Cricetulus griseus: one gene and its partner. The protein of the gene in region 2 interacts with the protein of the main gene of each other region in a biochemical or structural test. Links are inferred from orthologs where the notes say so. Each region holds a gene or a part of one and is shown on either strand. Other genes may lie near its edges. The genes, in order: Dr1 and Drap1.

What was found.
Region 1: the proteins of Drap1 (region 2) and Dr1 form a complex in vitro, tested with the Homo sapiens proteins (2 studies listed by BioGRID). The link is inferred for Cricetulus griseus from reciprocal best matches to the Homo sapiens genes DRAP1 and DR1.

The regions. Positions count from the first base shown.
Region 1 is NC_048600.1:2,986,745-3,002,170, reverse strand, and holds Dr1 (protein Dr1), read right to left. Parts: upstream 14,964-15,426; 5' UTR 14,400-14,963; coding exon 14,180-14,399; intron 9,133-14,179; coding exon 8,969-9,132; intron 6,927-8,968; coding exon 6,780-6,926; 3' UTR 4,987-6,779; downstream 1-4,986. UniProt on the Homo sapiens protein: The association of the DR1/DRAP1 heterodimer with TBP results in a functional repression of both activated and basal transcription of class II genes.
Region 2 is NC_048596.1:53,908,089-53,924,173, reverse strand, and holds Drap1 (dr1-associated corepressor), read right to left. Parts: upstream 9,438-16,085; 5' UTR 9,232-9,437; coding exon 9,190-9,231; intron 8,950-9,189; coding exon 8,877-8,949; intron 8,790-8,876; coding exon 8,696-8,789; intron 8,406-8,695; coding exon 8,268-8,405; intron 8,188-8,267; coding exon 8,073-8,187; intron 7,889-8,072; coding exon 7,800-7,888; intron 7,451-7,799; coding exon 7,345-7,450; 3' UTR 7,240-7,344; downstream 1-7,239. Other genes in the region: CUNH11orf68 (UPF0696 protein C11orf68 homolog), read left to right, coding at 9,674-9,795, 10,448-11,204. UniProt on the Homo sapiens protein: The association of the DR1/DRAP1 heterodimer with TBP results in a functional repression of both activated and basal transcription of class II genes.

The DNA of each region.
Region 1 (15,426 bases), on a different chromosome or scaffold from region 2:
GGTCTGGATCAGTCCCATGCTGGTTTCCCAGCTATCAGTCTGGGGGTCAAGAGCTCCCCCTTGTTCAGGTCAGCTGTTTCTGTGGGTTTCACCTGCCTGGTATGGACCCCTTTGCTCATCACTCCTCCCTCTCTGCAACTGGATTCCAGTTCAGATCAGTGTTTAGCTGTGGATGAGCAGACATTTTTCTTAAGGAACACAACAAAGCTTAAGACATAACTACACTGAAACTTTGTAAGGTCCAAGTAACATCTCCCATAAAGAAAATGAGCTCTGTAGATTAACTGAGGAAGCAAGCTCAAGATAAGGATCTGTGGAGCCAGTGTGCCTTCCTACACAGACAGTCAAAGGTCACCAGGCTACTCACCACATCTGTTCCCAACCTTCTGGGAGGAAAACAAGTTACACATCTCTCCCTTTGGAGAGAAAACCCTCTCTGTTTAATGTCCCTGGTTTCTGTGGTGCTTACCTGAGCACAGGGCCTACATTCCATGTACAATTTGTTCTATAAAGAAGTTGGGATAAGCAAGCCATAGGGAGTAGCCAGGAAGCAGCACCCTCCACGGCCTCTGCAGCAGCTCCTGCCTCCAGGTTCCTACTCTGCTTGAGATCCTGTCCTGACTTCCTCCAACGATGAACATGGAAGTGTGAACCAAATAAACCCTTTCAGCTCGTTTGCTTTTGGTCAGTGTCATCACAGCAGTAGTGATAGTAAGTTATTATCATTTTAACTTGGATTTTCACAATCACATATCCTCATGTGGTTATTTGGAATCTACATACATTCTCTGATGAAATATCTGGGAAAGTTCTTGGCTATTTTTAAATGTACTTATTTATTTTTATATGTTGGATAATAGTCTTTCCTCATTCTGTGGCATTTTGGGCCTTTATGGAAGTTCAGTTTTAAAAACTTATAAGTATATATCTTTGTAAGCTTCTACTGTATTATTTCCATACAACCCCTTAAATGACCCTTGGGGAAAGGGAACAAAAGGAGGTGTAGGTGTTGGCCAACTAGGGACAGAGATGGGAGGGGGAACAGGTGGAAGGCGCTTGCTTAAAGGGGAAAGCTTGCCCATTCGTACATCCTCACGCAGCCACATAACGCAGGGCCCTTTGAGCCATCTAAGTATCTGCCTGAATGCTGGTGTGCTTATCCTGCCAGGTGTCAGGGGTGGGGGTCAGCTTAATGCCAGACTATCAACACAAAGAAACAATCTTGTGGTGCATTCAGGGAGGAATGCCAGCAGACTGTCACATCAATTTGTTGAACAGTTGGATTCTCTACCTGGGCAGTGGCTTAACAGTGGCTCCTCATAGTGTGGACCCAAAGGAGCACAGTCTTGTTAAAATCATGGGTAGTATGGGTTCCTTTATGATTTGCATTTTGCAAATGACAACAGGCTCCGAGAGAAGCAGCAGCTCCTGGGTGATCCTATGACTTTTTTCCCTTCCAGCCCTCTCAGCAATTTTGTCATCTAATTCTGTCCTTCTTGAAATACAACTAGCTTCCAGTTTCTTGATAAATTACATGATTATCTCACTTTCATAGAACCAGAAAATATGCAGGCTGGAAAAATTAGAGACCAGTGCTGACCTGAGTATTAGAAGGCCACTTATTTGGCTATAGCTCTTCACCTGAACCATTCTTAGTCTGTGGGCCAGAGCACAGTAGAAAGAAAGGGTAGGGAATTGACTGGGATTTACAGCCAAAAACCTAGAGACAAAGATTCAAAAGCAAAAAAGTATCTTTGCTATTTGGATTAATTCTTTCTGATGGTCATTTGGGTTGGTTAGGTATCATTTAGAGCCCAATATGAGGAAATGGCTGTGTATTTAAAGTTAAAAAATTTAAGAAATTAAGTTACAGTTTTCTACAATTCAAAATACCATTTAAATACCTAATATTTGCTTTCCTTTTGAGAATAATATGAGTGCTTAATACTTCTATGCCAATAAGAATGCCTTAAATAATTTCAATTTCGTTTTTGTTTTTTCAAGACAGGGTTTCTCTGTAGCTTTTGGAGGCTGTTCTGGAACTCACTGTGTAGACCAGGCTGGACTCAGATCCATCTGCCTCTGCCTCCTGAGTGCTGGGATTAAAGGTGTGCGCCATCACCTCCAGTCATAATCTGCTCTGAACAGTCAATTCTCTCCCTCCACCTTCCATAGGCTCCAGGGATTGGATGTCAGCCTTTCACGGCACTTGCTTTTAACCAGCCATTTTATCAGCTGCTTTTGCTTTTTTTTTTTTTTTTTAAATAAGATGTATCCACTTTATTTTTATGTGTATTAATGTTTTGCCTGAATGTGTGTATGTATGTATGCATGCATGCATGCATGCATGCACGCATTATTTGCACCACTGGCACGCCTGGTACCCAAGGAGGTCAGGAAATCAGACCCACTGGAACAGTAGCTAATGTTGGCTGTGAACCACCGTGTGAGTGCTGGGAATGAATGGAGGTTCTCTGCCAAAGCAATCAGGGCTTTTAACTGCTGAGCTACCTCTCCAGCTCACTTTTGCTTTTATTTTCCTCTTACATGATGGTAAATAACAAAGACCTGCTTTAGAAGTATAATTCACTTATTTATAATTTAGGTATTTTGAGAAATACTCTTAGGCTGCTAAACCATTACAGGACAACTAATTACTAAAGTATACTTTAAATGGTACCTAAGTAGAAGCACTCTGCAAACCATATGACAATACATATTAAACTGAAATATGCACAAGTTGTGTTCAGTACTTCCATTCCTAGATATACTCAATGGTAGTGTACGGAAGTCACCAAAAGACAAGAATGTTCTCCACAGCACTATTTTTAATTGATTAGAATTACAAACTGGACTGCCCTAACATAAATTCTGTAAGACCTTTATTTTTTTTAAATGGAAAAATACTGTATAGCAATTTAAGAATGAAACAACTAAGCCGGGCGTTGGTGGCGCGTACGCCTTTAATCCCAGCACTCAGGAGGCAGAGGCAGGTGGATCTCTGTGAGTTCGAGACCAGCCTGGTCTACAAGAGCTAGTTCCAGGATAGGCTCCAAGGCTACAGAGAAACCCTGTCTCGAAAAGACCAAAAAAAAAAAAAAAAAGAATGAAACAACTACATCAACAATATGGGTAAATTTTTACTTTGAGAGGTTGAACAAGGACATCCCAGGTCCTCATCTCTAGAACCTTGAATATCGCTTTATCTGGGAAACAAGACTTTAAATATGTAATTAAATGACCTTGTGACTGGAAAATCACCTTGGAATATACAGAGGTAGAGGAAGACCTGACTATAAAAAGAAAACAGTGTGGTGACAAAAAACGGGCTTTTGACATGGAAGAAGGTAAAGCATAAGGAAGCCAGTAGAAGGTGGTAAGGCATCAAATCTAACCCTGAGGAAGGAACCAGTCCTGCAGACTCCGTCATTTGGGATAATGAAACTGACTAAGATTTCAGATCTGTAGGATTGTAACAGAATAAATATGTGTTGTTTTAAGTCATTAAGTACTTGTTACAGATAAAAGGTTACAATCACAAAAATGGAAAACAAAAAAGAGATTATATATGGCTGCATTCACCTAGAATTTTTTTTCAAGGCAAAAATAATTTATAGCTCTGAAAAGGAGAGGACTGTTGAGAGCCAGGCAGGGTGGTACATGTCCTTAATCCCAGCAGTTGAGGGGCAGATGCAAATAGGCCTTTTGTAAGTGCAAGTCCACCCTGGGCTATACAGTGAGGCCATGTCTAAAAAGAAAAGAAAAAGAAAGCTGTGGGGCTAGAGAGGTGGCTGCTCTCCCAGAGGGCCTGGATTTGATTCCTAGCATCCACATGGTGTCTCACAACTTTCTGTAACTGTTCTAAGGATCCAGAAACAAGTGTGACACAGACATACCTGTAGGGAAATCACCTATACAAACACATTAAAAAAGAGGGCCTGGGTGGTGGCACACACCTTTAATCCCAGCACTAGGGAGACAGAGGCAGAGAGATCTCTGTGAGTTCGAAGCCAGCCTGATCTACAAAGCCACACAGAGAAACCTTGCCTCTAAAAACCAAATAATAATAATAATAATAAAATAAAATGAAATAAAAAAGAGAGAGACAGACAGGAACAAGAACTTTGAAGGTATTCATAATGTCCTGTTCTTATCTGAAGACTATGTTTGGTTTGCAAAACTTTAATCTGTGCCCTCTCCTGTATATATGGTATACAAAGTTTTAGAAATAGGTTCCCTGTTGGCTATATGTGGTGGTACACATGTACAACCCTGAAACTTGGAAAGCAGATTGCCACTCTCAGGACAGCCAGACCTGCAGAGCAAGATCTTGTCTTAAAAAAAAAAAAAAAAAAAAGTACTTTTTAATATAACAATTTTACAGCCTGTTGGAAAAATATGTATTGTGATGGGAAAATATTTATTAAGTAACTTTATACCTCAAAAAGTAGGGATTTACCCGGGCGTTGGTGGCGCACACACTCGGGAGGCAGAGGCAGGCGGATCTCTGTGAGTTTGAGACCAGCCTGGTCTACAAAAGCTAGTTCCAGGGCAGCCTCCATAGCCACAGAGAAACCCTGTCTCGAAAAAACAAGAAAAACACAAAAACCAAAAACCAAAACAAAACAAAAAGTAGGGATTTTATTTCCTAAGACTAACCCATTCTCATGACTAGAGAAACAAATAACTCTGACTTTTAAATGCTAAAACAAGGTGCTGCTTAATGTGCTCTGTTGTGCCTCTATCTGGACACTACAAAAAGAAGGTAAACTATGTTTTCTGAAACAGCAGTAATGAGAAAGGGGTACTACATACTAAATAACCAATCAATGTCAAAAGTATCGAAAAGGGTAACAGAGACTGTCCCATAATTATTAAATACAAAAACAATTTATAAAACACATCAGAATTTTATTGCTTGGAGAATACAGCATATGAAATCACAAGAACATCAAAATGAAAAGTCACTAGGCTTCAAACACAGAATACATTACCCGATGCAGTAAAATATTAATTAACCTGAAGTCTGCATCAGAAAGAAAAAGGTATGGAAAAATACCTAAGTTGTTTACTTGAGAAACATACACTTAAAACAAAGTAAAAGAATGTTACAGTACAAATTAGAAAAGCCAACAGTGACTAACTTATTTTTGTAGACTAAACTACCTACCTACCTTTGGTACTTAACCTTTTTGAAAAAAGAAAAAAAGATTCCTTCTATTTTTTCCAAACACTTCATTTCATGGGCATATCCATGAAATACCTTGAAATAACTTCAACATAAAGCATTCAGAAAAATTACTACTCTTTTACTACCTTTTCTGTTATACTGGGGAAGTATATCTATCTGATAAATGCATAACAATATTTCCCTTTTTCTAAAACTGCAAAATATGAATATTAAGAAATCTAATACTTATAAACTTTACTTAGCTCTCCAAATAAAATTAAAATCCTGGCAGCTAGAATCTCTTGGGGCTTGGTGAATACAGAAGTTTAAATGACTTGGCAACTGACACAGGAACTTAATGACTTCCTATTACCTTAGGTGGCATTTACACAATTTCTGCAATTACATTGGAACCCTCTCACAAACACTACCATACTTTAGTCACTGAAGCCAAATTAAAGCTGCTCACTTTTAACAGCAAGTTAACACTTCATATAGGGCTGGTCAGTTATGACACTTTTTAATCAAACACAAAACTTTTAAAGCTATCACTCAATTATGATGATGGGGACAATGATGTCATATCAAAAGTTAGCACTGGGCTCTTTAGGCCACCTAGTCAAGAAAATGTAAATGTTATGCTAAAACCAAACAATAAGTAAACTACATGTTAAATAATATTTTTAAAGCCCTCTTTCATAGCAATCATATTCATTAGCTTTCATTTATTTCCCTTAGCAAAGGTCTGAATATCCATGAGCCTCAGTTAAACCAACGGAACCCAAGCAACTGTTTCACAAGTCCTACCTATATACTCAAACGACATAAACATGAATGACTGAAGCAAGTAATACTATGAACAATTTTACTGAACTGGAGTGAAATAGTAAGAATCATGACAATCTTCAAGATTAGCCAGTCTCTGAAATGGCATAGTGTAGATAAATTATACTATAATAAAACTAGTTTTTACTGATACACAAAAGAGTAACAAAATCAAAAACATAACTCATCAAATTTATACAACTACCAGTGAATACATTTCCTTCTTAGTTTTTGAATGTCTTCTTTGAGTTTTTCTCTTAGCAAGTATATTTATTTATCTGAGCATATATAATTGTTGCCTGCATATACACTCAGTTTAAAAGACAAAAACATTTAAGTACTATACAGAACTGAACTTTTTCCACCAACCTGATTCAAAGTATTCTGCCTCACACCATGCCTCATCTCAATATAAAATTCTCAGTTTTAGTTCAGTTAAAAGGGCAGAGAAGATGCAAATACAGATGAAGAGATCTGTGTAAATGTCACTGTATTTTTATAACCTGATGCTTTCTGTAATACTGTTCACTGACCAAATAAAGGGTTCACACTGCTCTTCGATTCCAGAAACACCATTACAAATTCAAAGCTGATCTTACACTGAACCTCAAATTTTCAATAGTTCAAAGAGACAGTTTTACAAGTATAGCAGAGTAGTTGAAACCTGAACAGCAGACGACTCTAGAATACCAATGGTAAGTCCACCGAGATGCATATACAGTTACAGAGAAGCACTTCTTTCACTGTTTTCTTACAGAGGAAACAAAAGCCAAGATGGTGAATTTCAGATGTCGTCATCATCTTCTTCGTCTTGAGAAGACCCTGCCTGATTGGATGCACTGGCTGAGGCTGCAGCCAGCTGGGCTTGTTGGGCGGCTTGCTGCATTTGAAGCCATTCCTGCTGAGCCAATTCTGCTTGCTGCTGTCTAGCCTAAGAATTAAAAACACAAAGAAGCAAGTGTACACATTGTGGTTAAGTGTAACTAACAGACTTATTATCAAATGTAGATATTTTCCAAGTACTCTTTAACTATGACATATCTAGAAAACAAGAACTCTTAATATTTTTAGTTCAGTTGAAGAAACTGAAAAGGTAAACAGAGGGACTGGAGAGATGGCTCAGCAGTTAAAAGCACATGCTGCTCTTCAGAGGATCTGGGTTTAATTCTTAGCACCCACATGGCAGCTCACACTATCTGTTAAAACTCCAGTTCCAAGGACTCCAACATCCTCTTCTGGACTCTGCAAGCAATGCACACATGTGCTACATAGACTTGCATGCAGGCAAAACACTCATGCACATAATATAAAAATAAATATGTATTTTTAAAAAAGGTTGATAGAGCCAGGCAGTAGAACATGCCTTTAGTCCCAGCACTTGGGAGGCACAGGCAGGCAGATGTGAGTTCAAAGCCAACCTGGTCTACAGAGAGAGTTTGAGGACAGCCAGGGCTACCAAAAAAAAAAAAAAAAAAAAAATTGCTGGGGGGGGGTAACATTAGTAACTCTTTGGCTCTTCTTGCTGTGTTTTTCTTTTCTGTCCATTCAATTATAATTTTAATATGAACATAATTATGGCTTAAAAGGTCTCCAGTACAATTAGGAAATAGCAAATACAACAGCTACCCTGATATTTTCTTCTGAGTTCCTATTATAATTCTATACCCTCATGGTGCAAAAGAAATCCCAGAGCATAAAATGTTTCTCAAATGTATGCTATACTTTTACATTTTATTGTCTTTCTTTATACTTAGTCTATTTGGAATTTCCTAATTTTCACTTACTAATATATAAATATTTAAAGTCAAACTGAAATACCATTTTCTCCTTCCTGCATGAGTCAAGGTGTTTTCAGGAGAGAGAATTAACATTAGTTCTAAGAACTAATTTAAAGAAGAAAAAAGACTGTTAACCAAACATAAAACTGATAACAAGCAACTGAAAAAGCAAAAGGACACTAAGACACTAGGAAGCAACTGAAAAAGCAAAAGGACACTAAGACACTAGGTGATGTCAACTACAAGCAGCAGTCACCAGTCTAATTTGGGAACAAAAGAAGAGTGTGGAACAATGAAAACTTGTCTAAGGAACAATCAAGTGGCACCAAACTCAGATCTCCGAAGAACAGGTATATTTGCTAAAGTATGAAAGCACAAGAGAGAATTAAATGAGCTAATATATACAAATTGCTTGGTAATATCATTAACAAATGGTTAGAACTCAGTAAATATTGGAAACATTTTTATTAGTTTAAGATTTTGTCATTTTATTTATGTATGTGTGTGGATCTGTAGGGGATAGGTGCATATGAGTACTGGCACCCTCAAAGGGCAAAGGTGTTGGATCTTCTCGGAGCCTCCCAATGTTGAGTGCTGGGAACTGAATTCAGGTCCTCTGGAAGAGCAGTATGCATTCTTAACTAGAACTCTTTCTAGCCCCTATTATTAAACAGTACTTGTATCTTGTGCTTAATGTTTAAGGCTCAAATGCAGTGACACTTGGTGGTACAATTCCTATTAAATTCAAAACCAGCTTTACAGGTTGATACCTTGCTACAAAGAAAATGTTACCAGATTTTCCTTGTATTCCACTCAATAAAATCTAGTAGCAGCTGGGTGGTGGTGGCACAAGCCTTTTAACCTCAGCACTCAGAAGGCAGAGGAAGGTGAGGCCAACCTGGTCTACAGATTGAGTTCCAGGACTACACAAAGAAACTCTGAAGAAAGAAAGAAAGAGAGAGAGAGAGGGGGGGGAGGGAGGGGAGGGAGGGAGGGAGGGAGGGAGGGAGGGAAGGAGGAAAGAAAAGAAAAGAAAAGAAAAGAAAGAAAACTGGTTGTTTTTACATGAACCAGAGTCAAACTTGTCAAGTTCTAAACATTAGACTCTGTAACAAGCAATGAGCTGGAGGAAGAATCCTCTGAAGTGACTTTTTGGTCAATTTCCAATGAAAATAATTTAAAGCATATTACTTACTTTTGCAAATAATTCCTGTTGCTGTCTCAACAATTCTTCTTCAGGAATGCCAAGGTTTTCCAAACGAGAACTGGCCTTTCTTCTTTTTAGTGCTACTGTCTTGCATTCTTGTAAGACTTCTTTTACTTCACTGATGTAAGAGCCAAAGCCCAAACTTTCTAGTGCTACAGAAATGAAAATGTGAAAGGTGAAAACTATGGCTCTCTCTCACTTAGGAAACATTTACTTTTTTGTGTTAGTTTCCTCTTGGGAGGCAGTTATTTAGTAACTACTGGGTGGTTAAGACAAGATATTTTTAATCAACCATTATTCTTTAAGTTTTACTTTTGCTCTCCAACCCCATGCTCATCTATAGCATGAAAGCTAATGGAACATTTCAAGGCACAGGCCTTAATTTTTCCCTCTTTAATTTTTTGTTTTGTTTTTCGAGACAGGGTTTCTCTGTGTAGCTTTGGAGCCTATCCTGGCACTCACTCTGGAGACCAGGCTGGCCTCGGAACTCAGAGATCCCACTCCTCTGCCTCCCGAGTGCTGGGATTAAAGGCGTGTGCCACCAACGCCCGGCTAAAATGATTTTTTTTTAATGCTAGTAGAAATTGAACCCAGAGCCTCTTGCTTGTTAGGCAAGTTCACCACGCCCACCGCCCGAGGCTTTTGTTTTCTCCCACTGACCCACACTTGCTTACTGAATATTACCAAGCATTTAGCATTGTGCTAGAAACTGGTTAGATTAGAGAAATAGACAATTCTCAGTCCTGAAGTGTTTCCTAGTTTTCTGGGAGTACTATGCCATGCTTGTCATGCTTGTCAGGGGTCTTCATGCCCGTCCAGTGAGGCAAGAATCTACTTTGACCTATATTATCTTGCTGAATTTTAAGTGAAAAATGTGACATTCTTCCCGCCTACAAATACGGAACTGGAGAATAAAGATTTGTATGTTGTTTTTAACCCAAAATGTATTGGTTAGGCTGATCCTTACCCAGGTTAACTGAGGTACCTGCTTTTAGTGCTGCTGCTTCCTGAAACAGCCCCTTTTGTCAGCCTTCTTTTCTGCCTCCCGCAGGCTGACAGAGAGACCAGTGGAGCAGCCAGCACATGAGAAAGACTGGTGTACTCTGGGCATTTCATATCTGTGAAGTAGGCGCTGGGGCTCTGCAACAGCTGGTTTTTGTTGTTTTGTTTCCTCTGGTCTTCTAGAGAGGAATGAAAATCTTTGGCCAGAAGCATGTTCCTGCAGGGAGGCCATCACTGCTGGGAAGGCTGATTTGTGTACTTTAAAGGGACCTGCACATTTTTTCTTCTTGAATCTCAATAGCCCAGACACCTACTTCAGCCTCCTCAGCATAGGGACACTCGTGTATTACCACACTCTCTGTTGGTATACTGGAGGAAAGAAAAACTTAACTATTCTTTCATCCTATCTTTCTGTAACTTAATGAATATGTATGTGTTCCTAGACTACTTTTTTGTAATGGGACAAACTATGTCATTAACCAGTAAATTCCAAATATTTGCCCTTTTTTGTATTCTTTAAGAAACTGACAGACTTATAGCCGGGCGTTGGTGGCACACGCCTTTAAACCCAGCACTCGGGAGGCAGAGGCAGGCGGATCTCTGTGAGTTCGAGGCCAGCCTGGTCTCCAGAGTGAGTGCCATGATAGGCTCTAAAGCTACACAGAGAAACCCTGTCTCGAAAAACCAAAAAATCCTGCTGTAAAAAGCAACCAATCATGTAATAGTTTACAATGCAAATTTCAAATATTGGTATTATTTAGGTAACACAGCATGTACCATTCTTATTTTCTGTAACTTCTTTGCAAATCACTCAGTTTCTCTGATTTCAAAAGTTACTTCATATCCACTTTCCAAATACATTACAGTTTAGGCTTTAGAACAAAGCTACTCAAAGTACTGTTCAAGTACTTGTGCCAGAGTTTGTTACAATGGTTGTTGTTTGTAACAGTTAAGAGTGGAAATCTGGCCTGGTGTTGGTGGTGCACGCCTTTAATCCCAGCACTTGGGAGGCAGAGGCAGGTGAATCTCTGTGAGTTCGAGGCCAGCCTGGTCTCCAGAGCAAGTGTCAGGATAGGCTCCAAGCTACACAGAGAAACCCTGTCTCGAAACCCCCCCCCCAAAAAAAAAAGTGGAAATCTGGAGATTGGAAAGATAGCTCAGGTTAAGAGCACCGACTGTCCTTCCAAAGGACCTGGGTTCAATTCCCAGCACCCACACGGTGCTTCACCACCACCTGTAACTCCAGTTCTAGAGGATCCAATACCCTCCTTGGTGGGCAATGCACAGTCACACAGGCAAGAAAAACATTCACATACAAGAAAATAAAACTATTTTAAAAAGCACTAGGGACTTCAAGTTAATTAATATTTTACTGCATCTGGTAATGTATTCTGTGTTTGAAGCCTAGTGACTTTTCATTTTGATGTTCTTGTGATTTCATATGCTGTATTCTCCAAGCAATAAAATTCTGATGTATTTTATAAAATAAATAAATTTCAATTAAAAAAAAAAAGCACTAGGGAGGCAAAGGCATGCTGATCTCCGAGTTCAAGATCAGCACAGTCTATACAGAGAAATCCTGTCTCGAAAAAACCAAAGCCAAAACCGGACAAAAAAAAACATCCTTAAGACATATATGAAATTACAAATGCATAAAATTTATACTAATTGGGGGAAAACTATAGAAATTCTTACATAATTTTTTTTTTTTGAGACAGGGTTTCTTTGTGTAGTCCTGACTGGTCTGGAACTCTGTAGACCAGGTTGGCTTCACAGAGATCCACCTGCCTCAAGGCGTAAGCCACCACCACCACCTGGCTGCATTGGGTGTTTTGCCTGTGTGTGGGGTCCCCTAGAACTGGAGTTGCAGACACTTATGAGCCATCATGTGGGTGCTGGGAATTATATCCGAGTCCTCTGAAGAGCAGTCAATGGTCTTAACTGCTGAGTCCTCTCTCCAGCCCCTCTTACATACTTAATGGCAACACTACAAGAAAAAGGTAAATTTTAAGTGCCAACAGGTCAATTCAGTTTTTTAACATCAGTAGATCGCCATCATCACAGCAAATAGCCATCCACTGTTAGCTTTCTGAGTCATGTACTAAACTGAAGTTAGCATATTCCAAAGTTGAACTATTAGCACATCACTTGCTACAGCTATACTTTTATTCAATCAGAGCTCTAACTATATCCTAGGAAACAAAAATGAACCTTCCCCCAAGAAGACAGATTGTTATTAGATTTTTGGAACAATCATCACTTTCGTGGTACCAACAAATGTTTAGGCAGATCCTACTGAAATCCTTTGCAGTTTTCATTAAAAAGTGATGTCTTTTCCTTTAAGAATTTTAGCTATTTGTTAGATAATCTTCTCAAAGATTTAGGACAACAATCATATATATAAAACGTAAAAATAAAAACAGATAACAGGCTTCCATTTTTCTTACCACTCAGCAAACCAAACCAAACCAGTAAGGGGGGGGGGGGGCAGTTTCGAGATTCAAAATGGTGGGTTGGGAACACAGCTCTGTAGTACAGTGCTTGTCTAGCATATTTAAGGCCCTAAATTTAACATACACACAAATAATCAAATAAGCAGCAGGGAATGGTGATCTCAGCATGCCCATAATCTCAGTGTTCAAGAGACTGAGGGAAGAGGACCTTGCATACAGATCTAGGCTAGCCTACACAGTAAGATCCTGTTAGCATCCTGCTTCTAACCCTGAAAAAACAAAAACAAAACAAAACAAAAAACAACAAAACCAAACATTGCTTTTTTAAGGGGTTACCTACAATGTACTGAAATGGCAGAGTACACGTGTATGTAATACAATTATTTATATACATATACATGTGTATATGTACATACACACATCTTGTGGCTCTACTCCTTACTAGGATTGACTTCTGGCATGATAAGTATTCAGCCTTAAGAGACAACTTAAACACAGCAGGGTGTACTTTAAATCTACCTTCAGCACAGGATAAAGGCTCAAAATTAATCATTTGATCTTTGTCAATTCTGACAGTGGAAAAATGGATATGGTCAATCTGAAGTGGACAGATGTGCTGTCCACTTCACCTTAACAGGAAATTGAAAGTAAAAAAAATTTAAAGTTAAATTATAAAAGGGCAATGATAAACTACCTGCATTGTTTGATTAAATTTGTTTTCTTAACTTCAGAAGTAAACACGAAATGTTAGATTATTACAAAATAGAAGTTATTGTCTCAAACTGAATTTGACTTTCTGTTAGATTGCATGAAAAGCCACAGAGAGCACTTCCTCCAAAATTGCTAAAAGTACTTTTCCCCTTCTCTGCAACCATCAAAATGCAGACTCCCAAATCCCTACTGCAAACTTTTTCCAAGATAAGGAAGAAACTGCTGAAACTTTCAGAAGTGCTGACTAGCATGTGTCAGGCCCTGGGTTCAAGGCCCAGTACTGGCTGGGCGGGGCGGGGAGTGCCGGCATCTTTTGCAAAACTTTCAAAACAAGCTTTCAAACATTTTCAAAGAACAAAACAATCAAAAGTCAGAGGGAGTCAAAAAGAAAAAAATGTGGCACTTGCCTTTCTATTACAGGAGTACTTTGGTAACCTGGTGATGATGGATTTACCATGTTTTTTTTAAGAAGCAAAATTAGACTCCCTTTTTGGAAGGCAATAAACTTTAATTCCTTTTTATTTCTTTAAATTCAGTGCTGGCAATCAAACCCAGGACCTGTTCGTGCTAGGTAAACGAGACGCCACTGATCTGTGTTCCACATGAATCTTTCCCTCCACTATGGTAAAAAGGGTCAGGTGCGGAAAAGCGCTCTCTCTCTGGCTCAACTCATGCTTGAAGGTCTATCTAAAATTTAACTTGCTGGGAGAGAACTTTCTGTTTCCTTTCTCGATTGTTACCATCCACGTTTTACTTGTTGCGTTAAGACCTTACTACAACCTGCACTAGTTGGTACTGAGGACGTTTGCATTCCTCATTTGCAATACTAGCTGGATGAAAAAGTGTCCCAAGAATGCCACACGGGTATTTTCTTAAGGTGACAAGCTGTCTCTGTGCCATTTGTGACTTTTCCATTAACAGTACTTACTCGTGAAATGGAATAAGGGCTCTGTGACGCCAAGTGGCTACCTACTGTTAGCGAAGTTGTTGCCTGGGACCTTCGCTCAAGCCGAGCCCCACACCAATGGTTTACCTTGTATGACGTGCTCCGGCGAAATCGTTTTCTTTTCCGACTTGTTGCAAATCTCGTTGGCTTCCGAGGATATAAGGTGAATGAATTCAGTGCAGCAGTTCACGACCAGTTCTCGGGCGTCGTTGGCCACCCGGACGTTAGGGAGAGTCTCTTTGATCATCTTATTTATAGCAGCTCTGGGGATAGTGAGGTCATCGTCGTTGCCAGACGAGGAAGCCATCGTACCTTCCTGGCTTTTCGAGCCCCAACTTTTTAAAACTCCTCGACTCTGGAAGGCTGCGGCTCCGGGAGGGGTGTCGGGGTCGGGGAGCTCGGGAGAGAGGGCGTGGAAACGAGGAAGGACGGGTCGCAGGGCCGGGAATGCCCACGGCGCGCGTGCCTCAGTGCGAGCCTGCGCGACAGGTCAGGGCGCCCGGGGCTGGACGGAGAGCCACCCTCCGTGGGGCCTCGGGACCGACGCTGGGGTCCGACGGGGCGGCTCACACGACACCCAGCAGGCCCGGCCCTACAGAGCCGGAGCCCCCGCGGCCGCCGCCACCAGCAGCGGTTGCCGCCGCCTCGGCCGAACCATCCTCCGGGCCCCCGCCCGCGCCCGCCTCACAACATGTCTGCCGAGGCCGCGGCTGGGAGCGCCGGCGGCCCGGGACGAGAGCGGACGGCGCCGGAAGCCGCCCGAGTCGCGGCAACGGCGGGCGCGACCGCCTGGGCCGGAGCGGGCCGAGGAAGCCCCAGCGGCGCTAACGGTGGTCTCGATACAGGCCGGTGAGGGAGGCTGGCCGCAAGCGGTCCCAGCACGCTCTGCGCCACCGGAAGTCGCGCTCCCCGGGTCCCACCCTCACTCCTGACCCGTTTCCGTGTGTACTCCCCTCCCTGCCCCCGCACCGCGGCGGGCAGGAACCGCGGGTCCTAGCGGCCCGCCGCTTCCTTCCGCCTGTCGCTGCGCACGCCCCGCGGTCTGTCCCGGCCGGCGTTTCCTCAGGTGGGCCCTAGGGGAGCTCGCTCCTCGGCGGAGGCCACGTGGCGGAGCAGCCCCGGCCGTTACGAAGAACTTCCTTTTCCTACTTCCTTAGCTGTCAGGATGAGGGCGCCGAGAGAAGGGAGGCTAGCGTGGGCTCTGGATGCGACCTGGGGAGCGAGGCCCCGTGTGTGGCTGCAGGAAAGGCTTCTGTACTAGCTAACCGCGGCCAGGTTAGAGCTCCCTGTCCTCGTTTATGGGAAAAATGAAACCTTCAAACAAGTGGCTCTGC
Region 2 (16,085 bases):
CTCACAGTTGGTAAGGGTGCTTGCTACCTGATGACCTGATTTTGATGCCCACATGAAAGACAAAGGACCCACATGGTAGAAGAGGACAGATACATGTCGTCTTCTGATTTCCAAGTGCACCATGACAAGTATCCTTGCCTTCCTTTTTGTGAATCAGGGTTGTTGTAGGACATTATTCCTAGGGGGATATGAAGAAATGTCTTCTCATCCCAGATAGAGAAGCAATGACAGGCCAAAGTATGGTACCAGTACGGGTAAGGGATTACTTACTAGAGCAGAAACGAGTCAAAACCAGCTGTGCTAAGAAAGGCCACCCCAGCATGGGAAGCCACTCACGAAAGCTGGGATCCTGGAGCTCACTGCACAGCCTGCAGGCAGTGCACAGGCTGAAAACTGCTCCTTTCAGGTAACTCAGGTGCTTTCAGACAGGGTCTCACTGTGAAGCCCTGTCTGGCCTGGAAGCTGTTGTAGGCCAGGCTGGCCTAGAACTCATAGATTGATGTGCCTCTGCCTCTGGGGTGCTGGTTAAAGGCAGGCACCACCACACCAGACAAAAATGTAATTCTTAACCAGAAGGAAAATCATCTGTCCCTAAAACAATCCCAGAGAGTAGCACTCTCCACAAAACAATTCTTCCAAGTCCCTGTCAAAGCCTCCATTGGGGGCTGGTGAGATGGCTCCATAGATAAAGGCACTGGCAGACAAGCCTGATGACTCAGACTCCATCCCAGGAACCCACAGGGTAACAGAGAGATCTGAGTCTCTCAAATTGTCCTGATCTCCACACCTGTGCATGCTGCCCTCCCCCCACAAATAAATAAGGAAAAACAAAAACAAAAACAAAAAAAACCCCAACATCTCAGTTATCCTTCCAGGTCTTGATAAGCTGACCTTAAAATTCATATTGAAACTCAAAGGACAGGATACCCAGGATATAGCCAAACAGTCTTGAAACAAAAACATATGGGTGTGGGGGTGGTGGCTGGAGAGATGGCTCAGAAATTAAGAGCACTGGCTACTCTCCCAGAGATCCTGAGTTCAATTTCAAGCAATCACATGGTGGCTCACAGCCATCTGTAATGAAATCTGGTGTCCTCTTGTGTGTGCAGGCATGCATGCAGATAGAGCATGCTTATACATTAAATACATCTTTTTTAAAAATATCAGGTGACATATTTTACATTTTCTGATCTGAAAGTTTTGGTAAAAGCTTCAGTCAGCCCAGCAGTGCCTTTTTTTTTTTTTTTTTTTTTTTTTTTGGTTTTTCGAGACAGGGTTTCTCTGGAGTCTGTCCTGGAACTAGCTCTTGTAGACCAGGCTAGTCTCGAACTCACAGAGATCCGACTGCCTCTGCTTCCCGAGTGCTGGGATTAAAGGCTTGCGCCACCAATGCCCTGCTCCAGTAGTGCCTTTAATCCCAGAATTCAGGAGGCAGAGGCAGACGGATCAAGGCCAGCCTGCCTGATCTACAGAACAGAGTTCCAGGGCAGCCAGGGCTACAAAGAGTAACCCTGTCTCAAAAAAAAAAAAAAAGCTTCCGTAGTCAGACAGCATGGAACTAGCATAAGGACAAACCTTAAAGAAAAACAACACAAAGATCAACACAATAGAAAGAAGGGCACAGCAGTAAGATCCCTTAGCCTGGTATGGTGAGGCACACCTGTAATGTCATCACTCAGGAAGTGGGCAGGAACATCAGAAGTTCAATATCACCCTTGGCTACATAGTAAGTTTGAAGCCAACCTGAGCTATGAGAAGACACTGTCTCAAAAAAAAAAAAAAAAAAAGGGGGTGGGGTGGGGTGGAGAGGGAGACTGGAGGGATGGCTCAGTGATTAGAAGCAGTGTCTGCCTTTGAAAGGTCCTGGGTTTGGTTCCCAGCACAGGAGGGCTCACAACCTTCTGTAACTCGAGTTCCAGAGGATCCAGAGCCCTCTCTGACCTCTGAAGCCCAGACATGCAGGCAAAACACTCATACACATAAAAAATAAATATAATTAATTAGGTTAATTAGATATAGAATAACCATGTGTCTTAGTTACTGTTCTATTGCCATGAAGAGACACCATGACCAAGGCGATTTATAAAAGAAGGCATTTGGTTGGGCGTTGGTGGCGCATGCCTTTAATCCCAGCACTCGGGAGGCAGAGGCAGGTGGATCTCTGTGAGTTCGAGGCCAGCCTGGTCTCCAGAGCGAGTGCCAGGATAGGCTCCAAAGCTACAAAGAGAAACCCTGTCTCGAAAAACCAAAAACAAACAAACAAACAAACAAAACAAACAAAAACAAGAAGGCATTTAACTGGGGGCTTGCTCACAGTTTCAGAGAGTTAGCATGGCCATCATGGCAGGGACTGCAGCAGGAGGCAAGTAGGACTGGTGTTAGAGTATCTGAGAACTTACATCCTGATCCTCAAGCAGAGAGGAGAGAGAGAGAGAGAGAGAGAGAGAGAGAGAGAGAGAGAGAGAGAGAGAGAGAGAGAGAGAGTGCTGGCGAGACTGGGCCTGGTGTGGGACCCCCAAGTGACAACACCTGCTCCAACAAGACCATACCTCCTAATCATTCCTAAAGAGTCCACCAACTGGTAACTAAATCATTAAAATCTATGAGCCTGTGGGGGTTATTGTCATTCAAACCACCACACCGTGTTATCTAGCTATTTCACTTAGCATGCAAATGTAGCAAAAGAACAAAAGCAGAGACTCTACCCACACAATGTTCAGAGTAGCTTTATTCACAACAGCAAAAGGTGGGGGCAGGCAGAGGTCAGCAGGGCTCTGAGGAGGCCAGCTTAGTCAACATAGCAAGTTCCAGGCCAGGCAGTGCTACATAGTTTAATTATTTGTTTTTTTGAAGTGTGGTGTACATAAAAGACAAGTCTAAGAAATCAGGAAGGAAAGCAAATCCAATACTGGACACCAAGTTAGATAGTGGCTAAGGTAGAACCTGTGGCTGGAAGCAAGGACCACTGCCTCAGCCCCGGGAACTGGCACCTGGGCCCTTCACCAACAGTTTCCTTGAGTCCCTAGGACAAAGGATGGACTTGGGAGGTCTCTCTCTCTCTCACTCCAGTCCTCGAGACTCTTCTTGCCCAGTACTTGACACCAGACACCAGATGTTAAGCTCTGCTCCTCAGTCCTGTCAAAGCCATCTGTCATACAAGCAGGACAGTCTCCTGATTCACCTCTAGGAACAGGAGCTGGGCAGGTACACCAAGTAGGTGCTCAGCAAATACACTGAGTGACTGAAAGAAGGCAACACTGAGCACCCTGCCTGTATAGGAGGGTATGTTTAACTCATTCTAAAAGGTCACAAAATAAGGCAGGATGGTGGTGGCACACACCTTTAATCTCAGCACCCAGTAAGCAGAGGCAGGAAGATCTCCGAGTTGGAGGCCAGCCTGTCCTGAGTTACAGGACAGCCAGGGCTATGTAGAGAGACCCTGTCTCTGAAAACCAACCCAACCCAAACCAAACAGAATAAATCATTTTTAACTCATTCTAAAGGACAATAGGCTGGAGAGAGCGCAGCAGATAAAGCACTGGCTGCTCTATCAGAGGACAGAGGACCCATGTTTGATTCCCAGCACCCACATGGCAGTTCACTACCAAGTGACCCACAGGCACACATGCAGATAAAGCACATTAATTTTAACTTTTAAATGACGGTGATGTCTTGGGGGTTGGACTAAATGGGCTAACAGAACCCTGAAAACTGAATTTCCTCTTCCCTGCCTCCCAGAGTATCCCTCATGCTTTTCTGATCTGGTTCCAGGCACTGATGTCCATGCACGGGTACACTAATCACCTGTTGCAAGCACAAAATGCCTGACAAGAGTAGTTTGGGGTTTGTTTTTGCTCACAGTTTTGGGGCACAGTGTAACAGGACTGGGGAGTCATGGTGGCAGGAGTGTTAGGTGGCTGGTCACATTGCAGCCACAGTCGGCAGAGATGGATGCTGATGCTCAATTGGCTTCCCCATTTTACTAAGTTCAGTACCTCAACCACGGGTTGGTGCTGTCCACATTTCCAGTGGGTCTTCCACCTCAACCTAATCTAAGATATGCTCATGTTTGTTTCCATGGTGACCTAAATTCCACCAAGTTGACAGTCAAGATTAACTGTCACACCATGGGTGACACACACTATGTGCTGTGCCAGGTTCCATGACAGGAACTTCAGGTGTCAAATTGCATACATCCCTAAAGGAGAAGCTCTTACTATCCGAACTTTAAAGACAGAAATACTCCCACTGCTGGCCCCAGACTTCCCTTCACCCGTTACTCTCAGCAGCCCATCTACCCTTTCTAGTTTTGTTTCATTTGGTTTGGTTTTTTCAGTCAGGGTTTCTCTGCTTTGGCACTTGTCCTGGAACTCGGCTCTGGAGACCAGACTGACCTGGAACTCACAGAGATCTGCCTGCCTCTGCCTCCCGAGTGCTGAGATTAAAGGTGTGCACCACCAGCGCCCAGCCAGTCCCTGAACTTTTTTGAATAGCCTCTTAGTTTATAGCCCAGCCAGGCTGCCTCAAAATTGTATAGCCCAGTGGCCTTGAACTTGGGATTCTCCTGTCTCTGTCCAAGGGCAAGTGTTATAGGCATGTGCTGCCATCCCTGGCCTCTTAATTTTTATTTGTTAAAACCTTATTTTTTAAAAAAGATTTTATTTGTTATGTATACAACATTCTGCTTCCATATATATCTGCACACCAGAAGAGGGCACCAGATCTCATAACAGATGGTTGTAAGCCACCATGTGTTTGCTGGGAATTGAACTCAGGCTCTCTGGAAGAGCAGTCGGCGCTCCTAACCGCTGAGCTATCTCTCCAGCCCTGTTAAAACCTTATTTAAATGCATTACATCACCCAATGTATGTGTTTTGCTTTTTTGCTTTCCATGATCTATAAAAGGTTTATCTGTTGTAACAAAGACTCATGTTTTTGAGGTGAGGTCTCACTATGTGACTCTAGCTGGTCTCATACTTGCTGTGTAAACCAGGCTGGCCTTGCACTCATAGAGATCCTCTTGCCTCCTGAGTGCTGGGATTGAAGGTGTGGGCCACCAACACCCAGCCCCGTCCTCCATCTTTTTCACTGTTGTTTTTTTTTTTTTTTTGACACACACACACACACGCACGCACGCACGCACGCGCGCATGGCAATGGAGTAGATGAGCAGCTACCAACTCCTTGGATGGCTTTTACTTGACAGGCTCTTGCGGTCTCTCCCTCTTCTAACTCCACTCCCTCCTGCTAGGCATGGCCTGTGCTATGGTGTCCCATTTGTTTGCCTCCATCTGCAGCTAAAACACACACACCTTACAATCCCCATGCTACCCGGAGAATTCTTTCAGGCATAGATGGTAAGGAGTGGGAGGAAGCCCTGGCTCATGTGACTAGGAAATGCAGGCACACCAGGCACCAGTGTCCTCAGGGTTCAGTGCCCACACGTGTCTCTCAACCGCTGGAGTGGGCAGGTTACCAGCATCACCAGCTCAGGTGTGCTGACGATCAACGCCAACCCTACAGCAGTCACTGTGGCCCAATTGTGGCACCGACTCACCAGGATGTTCTATGTCTATTCAATTGTGGGGCCAGCTGCCCACACCTCAGGTTGGGGTGGAGCAGTCACAGGAGCACCCTTACAGGTCTGTCTCCAGCATCCAACCATTGCTATGTCTCAAGTCCTAAACCCTGCCCTAGCCTGTGGTCTTCTCTCACACAGCACAGGTGACTGCATCCTGCCTCACAGTCTCCATTAAGCTACTGCTCCTCAATGCTCACTTCAAACCCCCTCCCTATCCTCTCTCCCCCATGTTCTGATGTCCCCCTCCTGTCCCGTGCCCCATACTCTCTGAATATCTAAGATTCTGTCATTTTAAAATCTTTTCTTTTCTTTTTTTTTTTTTTTGCAGTGCCAGGGCTTTGTGAGTGTTAGGCAAGTGCCTCTCATCCTATCCAAACCTTTTGCCATCTTAAAAAGAAGGGGGCTGGAGACATGGCTCAGCATGCTCTTCCAAACAACCAGGGTTCACCAGGACCCACAAAGTGGCTGACAACCATATGTAACTAGTTCCAGGGGATTCAAAGCCCTCTTCTGTCCTCTGTTCATGCAGGCATTAAGTTACCCATACACATAGTACACATTTTACATTCCTGTAGTCCTTCCTCAGCCCCAGCATGGCTTCAGCTCCCTCCCCCTCAGTAACTACTGAAGCAGACATTAAGAATCCTCTTTGGGGATTCTTCCTTGCCCAAAGCATCTGACAACTGTCCTTTCCCTTCTACCAGACCATCGGGACAGCTCAGGGTGTGGCAGCTCCTGTGTCTTGCCTTCCCTTCCAAGTTCATATACCTGTCTCTGGGTGCCCATGTCAACATCACCAATCCACACTTCCTTCAGTGACCTCCAGAGCACCCCAAATTCATCATGGCCAAACTTGAGATCTTGTCTTTTCCTCCTGTGTCCCTCAGCTGAAAAAGTCCCTCCCTTGCCAAAGAGCTAAAGAAAGCTAGAAGAGGTACTTACAGAAACTCTCCCTTAGACCTCTGAAGCCTGCCTTCAAGCCTAAGGTCACACAGGCCTGGGCCTCCCCAGCCACCACCATCCTCATCCACACACCTAGCATGTCCCCAAGGTTCCCTCAACACCCCCATTAGGAGGAAGCCAGTGAGCTTGTTAGCAGATGGACCTACAATCTCCCTCGAGGTTTTTTTTTGGGGGGTTCAGGAACCCCACATGGCCATGTCCCCTGCTTTACTCATGATTGCAGCTTCTTGAAGCTACACCTCTTGCCTTTGGCACTGAGGCTGCCCAGCCTACTCAAACACAGGTAGGCAGACTGCCTGGCTCCAAAGCTGCTTCCCAGTCCCCCTGCTATCTCATCTACCCGACTCTTCACTGTGCTGAGCCCTTCACTGCACTGGTTGCAGAGCTCTATAGTTTTCAAGGCCCAATCTCAGTACTGATCCCATCTATCCTCTCTCAGCAGCCCAGAGAAGGCTGCCCAAGGCTCCACAGCACAATGAAAGGTTAACCTTTAGCACTTCCAGCATGTGGCCGCTCAGTCCCTAGACCACCTTCCTTTCTTCAGTGCTCCTGGTAGTACCCAGACTCCCCACTTTTTACTCAGGTACTGGTTGGCCCACTGTTGTCCCTGGCTGCCCCATGTGGGGAGGTAAGTAGGTTGGCAGTAAGAATGCAGCCACGAATCCCTGGACAAGGACGGAAAAGAAACCAAAATCCTCTTTCTTTTCTTTCTTTCTTTTTTTTAATAAATTTAATCTTCTCCCCAGAGCAACTAATACTAACTAAAAGGGGTATGTGGCCTGGGGTCAGGGGCAGTGAATGCTAGGAGTCATAGTCCTCTTCATCCTCTGCATCAGGTGCTGAGGGGCCAGGGGGCGCTGGGGGCAAAGGCAGAGGAGAGGTGAAGGGCATGAAGGGGGCTGGAGGGCTGCAGGGCAGAAAATGGAGAAAATCAGGGCATGCTACTGTGCCGTGCTGTGCCCAACCCACAGGCCCTGCCACCATGCTCCAGAACCAGATGTGGTATAAATCACCCATTATGTCACAGGAGCCAAGTGTTGTCCCCCCCAACACACACAGGAGAAAAGGGCCCAGAGAATAGCACTGTCCAGGTTTTCTTCCCAACTACAGTGGGAACAAGACCTCACAACATTCCCACTCCCTAAGTGAGCCTCCACCATCAATCATCACTACTACCACCACCAAGTGGCTAGGGAAGTGAAAATTGGCTCTGGGAAGTTTGGCATGTCCCCTTCTGGTGTCCCTGGGCTGAATACCTCTGAAAGGGGGCAGGGGGGTGACTGGCTTGGGGTGGAGGCTGTGGTGTCTCTTCTTCTCCATCAGTATCAGTGTCCTCGGACTCTTCCTGTGAGCACAGCAAGGGGTCAGGGTTCATGAGAGAAGGCCTGGGCCCATGGTTGGGGAGCCCAGACCCTAGGAGCGCAGGGATAGATAGGCCTTCAAAATGTATACATGGAGACAGAGGTACAAAAGGTCATAGATAAGGATAGGTGCAGGCTGCCTTTCCCGACCAAGCTGGCCTCACTCACCTCCTGTTCTGAGTCTGTCCCAGACAGCTTCTTGTCTTTGGCTTTACTTCCGGTGCCTCCATTCTTCCTGCCACTGCTGCCTGGTTTCCGGCCCCTTCGGGAAGGTGCAGTCCATCTGCCCAGAGGACTCTCTCCTCCTGTTCACCCCCCTGCCACCCCCAACCCTCGAGGCCTTGGCCTTTCCCACCTATATACCTGGTCTTGGCTACCCACCTTCGAGGACCCTTGTCCCCATCCATGTGGTTGTCTTCGCCATCCCCTTGCATGTCAGGCACGGATGCCACCAAGTCTTTCAAGAAGTCAAACTGCTGCTCCAGCTCAATGCACTGCTTCCTGGAAGAAGTGAGAAAGAAAGGCGTTCAAAGGGGTCCCAAACACTTCCGGAAGGACAGAAACAGCCTTTTCTTGTCATGACACTGGAAAATGATAAACTCCCCTCCCCACTTCCACCCGGCCTCGAGGGCTTGGCTCTCGTTATTCCCTCCACCTGGAACACCTAATCCCTCCTACATCAGTCCAAACCCACCAAACTGGCTCAAACTCACTCAGCCTTGCACCACTCCCCAGTCAGGACACTGCCTCCTCATAAGCCCTTCCCAGCTCTGCGGCCACTGGCCACTCACAGGTGGGACGTGGTCATGGTTTTGGCATTTCGAGACTGGGTCACCTGGCAAGCCTTCTTCAACAGGGACTCCAGGAAGAGTTCGAGCGCCCGCGCTGAGGGGCGTCAAGGAGAACCCGAGAAGCGGAGTGCCGAAGTCCCGCCCGACGCCCCTCAGCCCAGCCAGCCCCCTAGCAGGATACAGATGATGACAGGCACTGCAGCCGCCACCTTCCCAATCTCTTCGTCCGTCTGCATGATCTTCTTGATCCGCGCCTGCCGAAGGAAGGGGGCAGAGCTCGGACGCGGCCGCCGGCGTCCCTGCAGGAGGCTGGGGGCAGCAAAGGGGCACCCCGAGAGAAGGGGGCGGGAGGCACCACGCCAGGCGAGCACGGAGGGGGCGGGGCTTCAGGCCGCGAACACCTAAGGGCACCCGCACCCCCACCCCCAGCAGGACCTGGGCCCGAGCCTCCCGGGAGCCCGGCCCGCTGAGGCCCGGCCCAGCCACGTGCTCACCGGCGGAAACCGCGCGTTGTACTTCTTCTTCTTGCTTGGCATCTCGGGGCCTCTCTCGCCGCGCCGGGCCCAGCGCCGCCGCCCGCAGCCTACCGGCTCGGGGCCTGTTCGCCGCCGGCCCGCCGCGGTCCCCTCGGGTCCTGCTGCCGCCTGCTCCGCCCCCGCCGCTACCCGCAGGGTCCTAGCGCCGCCCGTCGAAAAGCAGCTCCCCAGACCCAGGCGCTCCGCTTTTGGAGCCTCGGAGGCGGAGCGCGTCCTTCTCAGGGCTCGCCCGCCACGCCCACCCGCCCCCAAGCTAGAAGTACGAACGTTGGCCCCGCCCCCTGCAGGCCGGCTCCTCCCAGGGGTCTCGCGCTGGCCACGCCCCTGACGCAGCCCGCCCCTTTTCATGGAGCCCCGCCCCCACGCGGCTGGTTCCGCCTCTGGCCCCGCCCCGTGACTGCGTTTGTCTATAAAGTTGTTGTTGAGGTGGCGGGACCCTAAGATGGCGGCGGCGGCGGCGGCCGTGGCAGGGGCGGGGCGCGGCGCGGGTGGCGGCGCGGACCCCGGGCAGGAACGGAGCCGGGCCCGAAGTTGGGTTGGTGCGGAACGGAGCGAAGGCCGAAGGTGACTGCGGGGCGGCGAGAGGGACAGCCCCGGGGTGGGGGCAACCCGTAGGCTGTGGGCACTAATGGCGGCGGGTGTGGTAGGACTGAGCCTGGCCCTCCCGCGGGCTCCATCCAGATGAGGTTCGAGTCTGGGTGGCGCCCATTGACCGCAGTGGGCCGCTGTCCTGCCCTCTCTAGGCCTCAGTGTCTCGGTCTTTAAATGGGCCCCAAATAGATGACCGAGGAGGCCTGGCCCTCCACAGCCACCTTTTAGGGTTGGCAAACAAACCTGCGTTTTGCCTATATTGCTTAAATCGCAGAGCCATGCTACCTGCTGGTCTCTAGTCAAGAGGTGTGGCAGAGTAGCCAATTCACACTTCAGCTGTTCACTCACTATAGGTGTGACCTTTTTTCTCTATAAAGTTTCAGTTTCCTTGTTTGTAAGCAGTGCAAGTAGTACTAACAATAGCGACTCCACCTCAGGCATTTTATTCTAGGAGACAAATCTAGGCAGGATCAGTTGTTATCCCATCGTGAACGTGAAGCAACTGAGGCACAGATATTAAGTCTTGCCCAAGGCCACACAGTTTAGCAGTGCCTGGCACCCTCCAGGACCCAGCACTTTGTACCTACTTTCTCAAACCTCCAATGACTCAGTTCCCTCACAACAGGATGGAACCAAATGAGGAGTTGGAAGAGGAGGACTCTCCCGGTGGCCGTGAGGATGGCTTCACTGCTGAGCACCTGGCTGCAGAGGCCATGGCAGCCGACATGGACCCCTGGCTGGTATTTGATGCCCGTACTACACCTGCCTCAGAGCTGGATGCCTGGTTGGCCAAGTACCCACCATCTCAAGTTACTCGCTATGGGGACCCGGGTTCACCCAACTCTGAACCTGTGGGTTGGATTGCAGCCTATGGGCAGGGTTACACCCCCAACTCAGGGGATGTTCAAGGGCTGCAGGCAGCCTGGGAGGCTCTGCAGACCAGTGGGCGGCCCATCACGCCAGGTACCCTGCGCCAGCTGGCTATCACCCACCATGTGCTCTCTGGCAAGTGGCTGATTCACTTGGCACCTGGCTTCAAGCTGGACCATGCCTGGGCTGGCATTGCCAGGGCTGTAGTTGAGGGCCGTCTTCAGGTGGCCAAGGTGAGCCCACGGGCCAAGGAGGGTGGGCGCCAGGTCATCTGTGTTTACACGGACGACTTCACGGACCGCTTGGGAGTGCTGGAGGCAGATTCTGCCATCCGTGCTGCGGGCATTAAGTGCTTGCTCACTTACAAACCTGATGTCTACACCTACCTGGGCATCTACCGAGCCAACCGCTGGCACCTTTGCCCCACTCTCTATGAGAGCCGTTTCCAGCTTGGAGGCAATGCCCGTGGCTCTCGAGTGCTGGACCGTGCCAACAATGTAGAACTGACCTAGTGGGGCCACATGGGAGAGAACAACTTTTGCTCTCCTGCTGGGGATGGATCCTTCTTTCTTCTCTTCCTTGTCCCAAGAAGGCCAAACTCCCTAGCTCTGAGGACTGATTGATTTGGGAACTGCCTGTACTCGGTCCCTTTGAACTTCTCTCTGTGCCGGGTTGACTCCAGCCCCCACAGGCTGGGGGCTTTGGCTCCCTGAGGGCCGGGCCCTCAGCCGCCCTCTTTGATGCTGCTCCCCGCCACTGCCCAGGACCACAGCTTGGGTGCAGATGCTCAAGAAAGCCTGCCCTGGTCACCTCTGTCCCCTACTATACTCAACCTGCATCTTCCTTTTCTTTCCTCCTTCATAAGGGAGAAAACTTAGTGCTTCCAGTCCCTGCCCTTGGTGATATTGTAGCCCAGGTGGCAGGGCCCCTACAGGACTGAGCATGCTGTTGGGGCCTATATATGTCTGGCCAAGAGAGGATGCAGGGTCATGGACATAGGGCCTGCTCCTCCCTGCAAACTCATAGCCCGCATCACCAACATCCCCTCCCTGACTACCTTGACGTGTGCCTGCTCCTGGCATTTCAATAAAACCCAGCTTGGGTCTGTGTCTTGAGGTTTTTTTTTTTTTAATACTGTCCTGATGGTTGCCTGCTTTGGCTCCCAGGAAAGGCAGGGCCAGAAGAGGCAAGTGTCTCTGACCTGACCAGGCTTTCTTTGTCTTCCTCCCTCAGCAATGAAGATGGTGTGTTTCACTGCTGAGGCGGTTTCATTTCTGAGAACCTCTACAAAGCTGATCTCCTGTAACCCATGGATCAGAACTAGTTTTGTAGGTCTTTCCAGGAAGGCGCAAGGGGGCTACTCTTTGACCTTTGTATTTGTTTTAGACTTTTAAGTTTTATTGAGGTGGGGGTCTTACTATGTAGTCCTGGCTGGTCTGGAACTCACTGTGTAGACCAAACTGGCCTCTGACTCAGAAATCCATTTGTCTCTGCCTCCCAAAGTGCAGGGTTTAAAGGCCTGTATCCCCAACTTTTAGGTTTTTAAAAAATTATGTTCGCGGTGGCACATGCCTTTAATCCCATCACTGGGGAGCCAGAGACTGGTGGATCTCTTGAATTCAACGCCAGCCTGGTCTGCATATTGAGTTCCAGGACAGCCTGGGCTACATAACAGACTCTGTCTTTAAAAAACAAACAAAAAAAGGTTCATAGCCTTTATTCCCAGCACTTGGGAGGCAGAGGCAGGTAGATCTCTTTGAGCTCAGGGGAGCAGGGACAGGGTTAAGAGGCTGGGGACTTTTCTAGGCACTTAAGAGCACTGATTACTCTTCCAGAGGACAGTACATTTAATTTCCCAGCATTCTCGTAATGGCTAGTAACATCTCCAACTACAGTTCCAGGGATAAGATGCCCTCTTCTGGTCTCTGCAGACACTGCACACATGGTACAGAGACATACATACAGGCAAAACACCCACCCATACACAAAAATGAATCTTTACAAACTATTAAAACCGATAAAATATAAATTTACTTTTTGGGTGGATGTAGAGACTAGTTTGTCCCATGTACACATTTGGAGGTCAGAGAACAACTTGGAGAAGTCAGTTCTTAACAGTGTGGGTCCCAAGGATTCAACTCTGGTCAGGCAAGTACCTTTATCTAGTAAGCTATCTCAGTTGTTTTGTTTTTTGTTTTTTTTTCCTCGAGTCAAGGCTTCTGTGAGTAGCTTTGTATACCAGGCTGGCCTTGAACTCACAGAGATCTGCCTGCCTCTGCCTCTGGAGTGCTGGGATTAAAGGTTTGTGCCACCACCGCCCTGCTATCTTTTTGTTTTTAAAAACAGGGTTTCATTATATGGCTCTGGCTGGCCTGGAATTGGCTGTGTAGACCAATCTGGCCTTGGACTCAATTGCTGCTGCTGCCTCCCATGTTCTTGGTTTAAAGGCATGTTCGTCTTGAATTTATGATCCTCTACCTACACTGGAGTGTTGGGATTACAAGTGTGCACCATCACACCCAGTTTAGTGCTACCCAGGTTTCTGCAGTGACCAAGATTAAACCTGGGATTTAGTGCCTGCTAAACATTCTGCCAACTGAGCTACATCCACAGTCCCTCTGTCCCACAGACTTGGCATTTTTGGAACAGTATAGCACAATCTGGTCTCACAGTTGTGCTCTTCCTGCCACAGCTTCTTGAGTGCTAGGATTACAGGTCTGAACCACCATGTGCATGCTTCAGGACTTAAAAACACTCTCTCAGTTCTGCAGTTCCAGGCTAGTCACAGTTTTGTAAGCAGAGATGGGCTGGATTTCAGGCCCCTGGGCTGGAATAGCCTAAATGTCCATGGTTACAAAGCACCTACCTCCACATGCATCACTCAGTTCTCATGACCTCATTAAGGAGATGCTGACCCCATCCTGCTGTCAAGGAATTACCACCAGGTGTGGTGGACAACTTTAATCCCAGGACCCAGGAGGCAGAGGCAGGCAGATCTCTGGGAGTTAGAGGCCAGCTTGGTGTTACATAGCAAGTTCCAAACAACTGGAGCTACAAGACTTATCAAAAAAAGGGAGGGGGGTTGAGACCAAGAAGAGAAAGTATAATGCAGGGTGATTCAGTGAGTGAGCAGAGCTGGGACTTGCCTCAGATCCCTCCCTCATCCTCAGTCAGAGTGTGGTTCTTGACCCAGAGAGACACCTTCACAACCCACAGAGCATGGACACACATGATCTGACCATCCTCTTCTGCACAGCTGTGTAGCCTCAGGGGCCTGGCTTCTGCATCACCCTGTCTCCCCAAACCAGTGCCTGGCCTGGCCTTAGTTGGGGCTTAGGAGTGTTGGCAGAGAGCCCCTTGAGATGTTGCTCTCGTGCCATGCCAGCGCTGACTCAGCCTGCAGCAGCCTCATCAAGTTGGAATTTGGAGCAGAGGAGCGGAGATGCCACTGGGCTGACTGGGTGGAAGTGGCTGAGTCATGAGACATTGGCTTAACCCCCCTCCCCAGCTTCCTCCCTACCCTGAGTTTCCCCAGTACTGAATCCACCTCAGCCCAAATCTGGGAAGTCCCCAGAGCTCAGAGTCAGAGCCAGGTGCCCTGCCTGCCTGATTGTCTATGCTTTGCACTTGACAAAAGTGGGCCAACTTTCCCTAGGCAGGGGTGTGTCATCCCAGCAAAGTCTTGTGTTCTCACCACATGGTAAGGACAGCCCAGGTTTTCTTCCCGAACAAAGCGTGACACATCCCTCCTCTATCTCTTTGGCTCTGCCTGGCCCCTTGCCCTTCCTCAGTATCTCCCAAACTATGACAACGGCCACTAACTTGGCTCCTCCACCCCACATCTCCTTCTCTGTCCCCACCCCCAGCCAGATCCACAGATCCCTCTGTAGAGATGCTCACATTCCTACTGAAAGGCCTGTGGTTCTCTACAGCAACGAGGAACAAGGTCTGCTCTCCTGAGCTGGCATGGGCCAGGTCCTCAGCAGCTGTCTCAGCAGTCCTTCGGCACATCTGTCTCCACTCACTGAAGCCAACTGGCACATCCTCCATCACCTTTGCAAGAGCATGGGGCCTCAGGCCTTCCTTCTGTCTGAACACAGAACCATCAGTTACTTAGCAATCACCTGGTTGTTAGCTGTCCCCTGCTGATCCCCAAACCACAGACCCAGACTAAGGCAGGGCGGTGTCAACATTTCAGCTTCCAGCCCAGAATAACCCTCTTCAGAGATTATTAAATGAAAGAAGCAATTGCCTCAGAACCAGCTCATGCAAATCCCTCCTGTTTTCATTTTTGCTTTAGAATATGGATATGGCTTTTTTCCCCCACATTCTGGCCTTTCTCACTTTGGTGCATTTGTTGATGGATAGCCTCTAATCGCATGCCTGATACCAATTCTCCTAGCTAATGGTACATCTCAAACCCACTAGCTCCCCAACCGTGTTCTACTTGTGGCTCTCATCTGTCTGGGAACTCTCAAGGACAGTGACTGTGGTTTATCCTCAGGGCATCTTCAGCACCCAACTCAGAGTCAAGCCTGGTGCAAGCAACAAATAATGTTCTTTGGGGGTTGGGGAGTTTAGGATAGGATTTCTTTTTTTTTTTTTTGTTTTTTCGACAGGGTTTCTTTTTTTTTTTTATTAGTTCTAGTTAGGGAACAAGCTTATTTCAAGTCCCTTCTCCCTCTCCCTCCCCTCACCCCCAACCCTCCTCCCCCACCCCAACCCCCCACCCCATCCACCCACCACTCCCCAGGCAGGGTAGGGCCCTCAATGGGGGCTCTGCAAAGTCCACCAAATCTTCTTGTGCTGGTCCTGGGCCCTTCCCCATGTGTCCAGGACCAGAGTGTAACCCTTCACGTGGGATGAACTCTCAAAGTCCCTTCTTGCACCAGGGAAAAATACTAATCCATCATCAGAGGCTCCCTGGAGTGCAGAGGCCTCCTTATTGACATCCATGTTCAGGGGTCAGGATCAGTCTTGTACTGGTCTCCCTGACAGCATCTGGGGTCCATGTGCTCTCCCTTGTTCAGGTCAACTGTTCCTGTGGGTTTCTTCTTCATTCCTCCCTCAACAGGGTTTCTCTGTGGCTTTGGAGGCTGTCCTGGAACTAGCTCTTGTAGACCAGGTTGGACTCGAACTCACAGAGATCCTCCTGCCTCTGCCTCCCGAGTGCCGAGTGCTGGGATTAAAGGCGTGCGCCACCGCCGCCCGGCAAGATTTCTCTGTGTAGCCCTGGCTGTCACTTTGTAGACCAGGCTGGCCTCGAATTCAGAGATCCTCCTGCCTCTGCCTCCCAAGTGCTGGGACTAAAAGTGCGCACCTCCACATTCAGCTCAAATAATGTTCTTGAATACTGGGTGGTTGCATGAAAGCCATCCTCTGTTTGCAGTCCT